Linked DNA regions of Callithrix jacchus. The protein of the gene in region 1 interacts with the protein of each later gene in a pairwise test. Links are inferred from orthologs where the notes say so. Each region holds a gene or a part of one and is shown on either strand. Other genes may lie near its edges.

The links. The genes of interacting proteins can lie anywhere in the genome.
Region 2: the proteins of FOSL1 (region 1) and USF1 interact in binary tests that used the Homo sapiens proteins (3 or more experiments, as listed by UniProt). The link is inferred for Callithrix jacchus from reciprocal best matches to the Homo sapiens genes FOSL1 and USF1.

The regions. Positions count from the first base shown.
Region 1 is NC_133511.1:122,974,899-122,979,077, forward strand, and holds the start of FOSL1 (fos-related antigen 1), read right to left. Parts: upstream 2,801-4,179; 5' UTR 2,749-2,800; coding exon 2,650-2,748; intron 1-2,649.
Region 2 is NC_133519.1:20,900,196-20,904,208, forward strand, and holds the end of USF1 (upstream stimulatory factor 1), read right to left. Parts: intron 3,876-4,013; coding exon 3,760-3,875; intron 3,421-3,759; coding exon 3,319-3,420; intron 3,058-3,318; coding exon 2,862-3,057; intron 2,625-2,861; coding exon 2,537-2,624; intron 2,090-2,536; coding exon 2,031-2,089; intron 1,885-2,030; coding exon 1,790-1,884; intron 1,556-1,789; coding exon 1,427-1,555; intron 1,242-1,426; coding exon 1,152-1,241; 3' UTR 501-1,151; downstream 1-500. Other genes in the region: TSTD1 (thiosulfate:glutathione sulfurtransferase), read right to left, coding at 141-150.

The sequences.
Region 1 (4,179 bases):
CCCAGCCTCTCATGCACCACCACGCCCAGTTAATTTTTGTATTTTTAGTAGAGACAGGATTTCACCATGTTTGCCAGGCTGGTCTTGAACGCCTGACTTCAGGTGATCCACCTGCCTCGGCCTACCAAAGTGCTGGGATTACAGGCGTGAGCGAGCACACCTGGCATAGTATCTTCATTTTTAGACAGGAGAATAGTCGTCCACAGATACAGAGCCAGTGAGTAGGCTCTTACCCACTCCTGCACTCATCTGCATGAAGAGGATAATTACAGCTCCCAATTCAGGGGAATGCTGTGAGAATCAGGTGTGAGAATGTGTGTGACAGTCTGGTAAGTGGCAGGTGCCCAGTGCAGAGGGGCTGAGGCAGGAAAGACTCACTGCTCTGGGTTCAGTCTATCCCAATTTTTTTTTTTCTTGAGACAGGGTCTCATTCATTCTGTCACCCAGGCTGGAGTGCAGTGAGCTGCAGTCTCAAGCAATCCTCCCACCTCAGCCTCCCAAGTAGCTGGGACTACCAGTGTGTACCACCACATTTGGCTAATTTTTTTTTTTTTTTTTTTTTTTTTGAGACAGAGTCTTGCTGTGTCACCCAGGCCGGAGTGTAGTGTAGTGGCACAATCATGGCTCACTGGAACCTCCACCTCCAGGGATCAAGCGTTTCTCCTGCCTCAGCCTCCCGAGTAGCTGGGACTACAGGTGCCCACCACCGTGCCTAGTTAGTTTTTGTATTGTTAGTAGAGACAGGGTTTCACCATGTTGGCCAGGCTGATCTTGAACTCCTGACCTCAGGTCATCTGCCTGCCTTGGCCTCCCAAAGTGCTGGGATTGCAGGTGTGAGCAACTGTGCCCAGCCTGGCTTTTTAAATTTTTTTTGTAGAGATAGGGTCTCATTAGGTTGCCCAGGGTGGTCTCAAACTCCTGAGCTGAAGCAATCCTCCCACCTCAGCCTCCCAAAGTGGAAATGATAGGCATTCTGGCATGAGAGGCTGTCTCAATTCTAATCTCAGCTCTCAGCCACTTACTGGCTGTGTGAGGGGCAAGTTACTTAACCTTCATGTACCTCCGTTTCCTCATTTTTTATAGTGCTACAGATGAGGATTACAGGATTTCATTGATGCTAAGAAGTACCCTTTAATAGGTCTGAAATATAGTTTAATTGGCAATTTAAAAAATTTTAGTGGGCTAGGCATGGTAGCACACACCCAGCACTTTGGGAGACTGAGGTAGAAGGATCACTTGAGCTCAGGAGTTCCAGGTCACACTAGCCAACACAGTGAGACTTTATTTCTACAAAAAAATTAAAAACTCAGTTGGGTGTGGTGGTGCATGCCTGTGGCCAGGTTGCCTCCCAGCTAGGATCCCAATAGGATCAGTTGAGCCCAGGAGGTTGAGGCTGCAATAGAAAAGTAAAAGAAAGAAAGAAAATGAGTGGCATAAAGTAATGGGGTCTTAAATCCATGAGGTCTTCGATTCTGTGAAATACGGCAAGTGATGTGGCAAGCACCCAGCACGACATCACTGCGACCGTTCTATTAGACAGCTATCTGAGGAGTGGGTTGGGATGGGGCTCAGTGTTCTGGGAGAAGTGGGTTCGAGCTCTGCTGCTGGGCCCTGGGTGTGGGCGACCGGTCGTCCGGGAAGCGCCCCACAAGCCCAGGCAAGTCCCGACAGCGGTAGCCCGATCCCAAGCGCTGCGGGCCCGGCGGCCCAGTGACCCCAGTTCCGGGTCCGAGGCACCGCCGGCGGCATCTCCCGCTCCCGAGGTTGTCCCGGCCCGGGCCAGGAAGGGAGGGGCGCCCCGGGTGACTCAGCCGCCGTGACTCGGCTGCCGTGACTCGGCGGAACGGACGCCCCTGTCGACACGTGCTCTCAGCCCCTCGATAAGAAACAGGCACCTGCAGCCTCCCGGGTACCCCCGGTGGGTAGCGGGCGCCTTTTTTCGGAGGCGAGAGTGGGTCGCGAGAGTCGCCCGCAGCCTGACCCCGCGCAAGTCCCGGAACCTCGCGGTCTCTATTAGCCGCATTCCGCAAAGGGGTCGAGGGCCGGTCTCCGGGGACCTGGCAGGTTCCACTGCCCCGGCCCCCTCGGGCTCCCCTGGCCCAGAAACGACAGGGATTTGGCGACGGAGGAGCGAAGGACAGACAGGCGGACTGACACACGTACGGTCGCAGACGGGGCCGAGACTCCCACCCTGGCTCCGCTGCTCTCCCGACGGATCCCGCCTCCCTCCTTTGTGGGGACGTCTCCGCCCGGGCCCAGACTCCAGAGCCCAGGAATTCAGCCCGAGGCGGAGAGACCCTCCGAGCCGTCTGGGCCGGGCCAACCTAGGCGCCCACGCCCCTTTCGAGGCAGTGGAGACGCAGAAATCAGAGGCAGGCAGGAGGCGAGAAAGCGGGCGCGGAGACGGAGGGACGGACGCGCGCGCCGAGGGAGAAGGAGGCGGCTGGAAGGGAGGCTCGCGGATCTCGGTGCCGCGGGCTGCGCGGCGGGGGAAACTGGCCCCGGACGGCGAAGGGGCAGGATCCTCGCCCCGGCCCCCAGCCCGGCCCAGACTCCTGTTCGCGGCTCCAGTCCCGGAGCGTGCGGGAGCTGACCCCGGCCTCCCACGCGCCGTCCTCCCGGGGACCCCCGGCGTCTGGCCCCACTCACCTGCTGGGCCGCCTGCCCTGAGGCCGGGGGCTGCGCCGGGGAGCAGTACCCGCTGCCGTTCCCGGAGCTCGGGCCGGGTTCCCCGAAGTCTCGGAACATGCCCGGGGCTGGCGGCTCCGTGGGGTCCGCGACTGCTGGGTTCTGACTCACCAGCGCTGTGCGGAGTCTTTTCTTTTTATGAATGAAAAGTTCTAGGGCTGAACCACTGCGACCGCGGGGGGTGGGGGCGTTGCAGCGGCGCGGTCACCTCCAGGCTCCACCCCTGAGACGCGCCGCCGAGGCCCGTCGGTCTCAAACTTGGCGACGCCTCCCCTAGCCCGGCGGCCGCTTTTCCACCGGGTTAGGGACCGGCTCCGCGTCCCCCGGCGGCGGCGGGCCCGCCCCCCTGACGTAGCTGCCCATACATGGTGCAACTTCCTCGCCTCACCCAGGTGGAGCCCGGGGTTACCCCGCGGACTGACGCACCTGCCCGAGCCCGCGCCCCGCCCCAGCCCTCTCGCGGTCTGGGTTGGCCTCCGTTTCTGCTCCCACAAAATAGCACGAAATAATCACGTCTCCAGGAGCCACGCCAATCGCCACCCAAAGCTTCGTGGAGATCTTGCCGTTGGCCTTGTTTTAAGACTTCGAGTATATGAAAAGTGAATAAATGATAAACCAGGGTTACAAAAATGGTGACATATTTTATTTTATTTTACTTTATATTTTTGAGGCAGGGTCTCTGTCTCTCACCCAGGCTGGAGTGCGGTGGCGCGATCTCCACGCACTGCAGCTTCAGCTTCCTGAGCTCAAGGGATCCTCCTGCCTCAGCGCCCTTTCCAAGTCAGTGTGACTACAGGCGCTCACCACCATGCACAGCTAATTTTTATGTTTTTATAGAGATGGGGTCTCGCAGTGTTGCCCAGGCTGGGTGATATATTTTTAATGTTTATGATAAGGTAATGCTTTGAACTAACCACACATATAATGCAATATAATTGTGTCACTCAGGATAATTTCAGGAGCTATGACAACCTTAATTCAGGTGTCCTGAGGTCTGATAAATGCCATCTTCTTTACTGTCAGTGCCTTTCGGAGACTGAGTGGCCACCAGTTTCATCTGGAGATTATGTCAAAGATGAGTGTGAATGTGAGGCCATGGCCAAATGTGCTTGGGAGGCAGGCACCATCCTCATCCCTGTTTTACAGGTGGGGAAACTGAGGCTGGGAGATGCTGAAATGAATTGCTCAAGGTCACTAAGTGAGTAGCTGACACAGGTTGCCAAATCACAGCAGTGGGAGCTCCAAGCCCAGGCTCAGCCAAGATTTTTTAAAGCCCTTACCTTCACAGAAGCCTTGTCGTACATGCGGAATGTTAGTGCTGAGCACCATCCAAAGCTGCTTCTCTGATTTCCTCCATCTAACAGATGAGGAAACTGAGGCCCAGATGCAGTGCTGAGCTGCCAGTTTTCACACGACTACAGAAAGGGGGCTGGGGCCGGGTACGGTGGCTCATGCCTGTAACCCTAGCACTTTGGGAGGCCAAGGCGGGAG
Region 2 (4,013 bases), on another chromosome or scaffold:
CTGGCAGCGCCCCTCCGCAGTAGGGTGTGCACGAGGACCCCTTGGCTACGCCCCTTCGCTCCCCACCCCCCCTTGCCGCCACGCCTCAATCCAGGGGGCCGCGAGGACCGAACTCGGCCCCAGGAATCCCCCACAGGTACCTCCAGCCATGGTGTGTGCAGCAACCGGTAGTCTCCCGAGCGCGGGCCCGGCCCGCCCCCTCAGCACCCGCAGCATCTCGGTCACTGAGACCGGATCCGGAAGCAAGGGTACCGCCTCCCGCACCGCCCCCGCAGCACCTGTTCGCGGCGCCGCTAGCACCATCCCACCGCAGGAGTCCTTAATATTCTCCAGCGTAAGCCATAAACGACATACCGGTCTGGGCTAGGAACCAGGACGCAGGGTAATGAGTACAGGAGCAGCACCCCACCCTGAACTTGCCCCAGCCCATACTGGTCAAAGGGCAATGTGCCCCTCCCCTTCAGCCTGTGGCCCACAAAAGGAAGAAAAGCAGACAACTGTGGCTTTGAACAGTTTTATCTTTAAAAAAAAAAAAAAAGAAAAAAAAAATCACCCCCACAAGGGGGAAGGCCCCAAGTGGGCCCCTGCCTGTAGTTCTCCCTGGCTCCAGAGATGTCTGCACAGGCCTCAGCTTCTTGCTGGCCAATCTCCTCTTCATGGGCACCAGCCACTGCTAAACATCCTTCCCCCATTTCTTGTGTAAGCTTGCTCCCCTGAGCAGCAGGGTGCATGTCTAAACCTCAGCTCCAGGGAAAGGAAGAACCAATGGAAGTGCCAGAGTCCTGGGGCAAGCCAGAGCATCACCCGTCAGCAGACCTCTGCTGGGCACTCTAAGCAAGCACAGGACAAGCCCCCCAGTTTAGTGTGTCCAGTATCCAGCATGGAGGCAGCACATGCATTGTGCGAGAGGAACGCAAGGGCCCAGGGGCTGCGTGGTGGGGGTGGGCAAGGCTGTCAGTGCACGTTCACATTGTGTGTTTCACACCACTGCAGGCTGCCATATCACAGGGCCTCAGTTCAAAGACACACCTTCTGAAACCCCCCCCAGTCCCCTGCCAGAAGTGGGCAGTGAAGGAAAGGGGCACGGGATTAGGCTGTTGCTTCCTGGGCTATCTGCAGTTCTTGGGCCCAAAGCCCCTGGATCCCCATAGTTAGTTGCTGTCATTCTTGATGACGACCTCTAATCCGTGGTGCCGCAACTGAGCTCGCAGCAGCAGATTCTTGTTTTTAAGATCTTCCACCTGACATGGGAAGGAGAGAGTAAATGGAATGGGTAGTAAAGCTGGCACTACCAAGCCCCTGAATGTATTCAGACATCCACTGGTGAGAGACGAAGCCCTCTCCATGGAGAACAAAGTAGAGGGTGTCAAACTGGGTCAGTGGCTAGTAGAGCTGAGAAGGGCTGCACTGGGGGTGGGCATCTGACCTGCTGTCGAAGCACGTCATTGTCCAGCTGCAGTTGGTCGAGCCCCTGCAGCTCTTCAGACAAGCGGTGGTTACTCTGCCGAAGCTCCTGGATATAATCACAAGCTTTGGATAGAATCCCACCTTTACTCTGCAAGATAAGGCCGACAAAATGAGGACTAGGATTTGAGATACCCAGCTTGCTTTCCAAAAGTAGGTTCACACTTTGGACCTCATTTTCCCCTAAGAAAGGTGGTATAGTATCTCCCAGGGATACAGGAACTTCAGGGAGAGGTCATGTGTGCCCTACTCTCTACCATTTCTGGAAACAATACCAGGAGACAGAATTCAGGCATCCTGCCCACTACCAGGGTCTTTCCATGACCTGGCCAGACTTGGTGCTCTCCATAGAGCAGTCTGGGATGATCTTGGAGAGCTGCACGATCCAGTTGTTGATCTTGTCTCGGCGGCGGCGCTCCACTGTGGAGCAAAGTGGAGGACAAGGTGACTCCGTGAAAACTCACTGCAAGTCCCAGGGTAAAAGTACCTAACCCCTCCTCCCCTCAGACATCACTGCTGTCCTAGGCCCACCAGACAGTTCCTAGCTCCACACAGATCTTACCTACCTTCATTGTGCTGAGCTCTGCGTTTCTCATCTCGAGTTGTCCGAGGAGCTTCTGACTTCCTGACAATAGAGCCCAGGGTGACCAGGGTAAGAGAAGGATAAAATACGTGATTGGAGTTTAGGGTTAAAGAATTATACACGATTTAGCAGGTATTAAGGCCACTTAAGGCTAGATGGGTGAAGTGTGTCACACCTGTAATCCCAGCACTTTGGGAGGCTGAGGCAGGTGGATCAATTGAGGTTGGAAGTTCAAGACAAGCCTTGCCAACATGGTGAAACCCTGTCTCTACTAAAAATACAAAAATTAGCCAGGCATGGTGGTATACATCTGTAGTTCCAGTGACTCGGGAGACTGAGGCATGAGAATTGCTTGAACCCTGGAGACAGAGGTTACAGTGAGCTGAGATTATACCACTGCACTCTAGCCTGGGTGACAGAGCAAGACTGTCTCAAAAACAAACAAACAAAACCACTTATGGAATCTGAGAAGAAACAAGGGTCACTCACGGGGAATAAGGGTGAGTCCTAGGGGCAATTGAGCGCTGGCTTCCTCCCTGCAGTACTTCTTGTGGTGACATCATTACAAAAAACTGACCTGTGAAGACACAGGATGATTCTGTCAGGACATGAGTAGGAACCTCACCATGCCCTGAGGTGAAGACCCTGGGCCCCCCCTCTAAAAAGAACATGCTAAAAGAAGAGCATCCCCAGACTCACTGCCTGCCCAGGTCCTAATGATCACTAAGAGTCATGAGTGAAGGCTCACTGCCTACCAGTCATGTCCCACAGCCTATCCTACCCTTCCAGCCAGCATCCTCCCGAAATATCTCACCAGTGCCAGGAGGGGTCGCCTGCCCCAGCAGTGCCTCTGAGCCCTGGGTAGTAACAACAGCAGCTGTACTCCCCGATGTGGTACCCCCTGCCCCATCTCCCACTGCCGTGCTGGGGAAGTAAGTATAGTGCGTCTCTGCAGCTGTCCCCTCTGTGTCAACTGCATCATCACTGGTGAAAGCACCCTGGATCACTGCCTGGGAAGGGGAGCAAGAGAACAGATTCAACAGTCAAAAACTTCTTCCCACTATACCACTTTGCAGCTTCTATCCCTTGGGGTAGCGGGTAGGGTGGAGAAGACAGAGAGAGAGAAAAACGTCCAGAAAGGGAGAGCCTAGTGTTTTGGGACAAGGTAGCCCTAGATGCCTCACTGTTCCTAGCTTCACCCCCATCCTATTGCTTCCCTTCTTCATCTTACTTCTCAGAACTCTAGTCATCTCCCAACCAATATCCTGTACCTGGGTCATGGATTGAGTGGCAGGGTAGCCACTGATGGCACCAGTGCCCTCAGTCTGGCCATCCAGCTGCCCTTCAGACACCTGGATCACCCTGTACATCACCTAGAAGCGTAGAGGAAGGCAGAGGGAGGGGAAGAGAGAAGAACAGATTAAGTGCTGGGAATCCTAGGGCCCCTCATAAAGCTTCCCTTGGATAGGGCCCCAAAACAAGAATCCTTCAGAGACACAGATTCAGCCATTCTTCCTTCTTTCTCCACACACAGGTTTCAGCATACATCTAACCTCACACCAGTCTCTACTCCAGTATTCGCACCTCCCTCCCCTGCAACAATCTATGCTTTCAGCTCATCCTCCAAGCCAGGTCACCCCAAGACATGTTCAATTACCTCCCTCAATCCCAACCCCAAATAACACCTACAGCCACCTGGCCCCCTCCCTTACCTGGCCCCCATTCTCAGTTCGGAAGACGTACTTGACGTTGGGGTCAGGGAAGGTGGCAGCTGACTGGATGCTGGCAATAGCCACACTGGTTGGATCCTCCCCAGTAGCCACTGCACCTGAATTAAAAGAACAAAGGAAAAGTCTGCCTTTCTCCCCACCGCCCCCCACCCCACACCATCCCCATTCCACTTTCATGTCATTGAAGGAGGATGCACAGGAGATGGTCTGGTCAGGGAGGAAGTGAGCCCATGGTG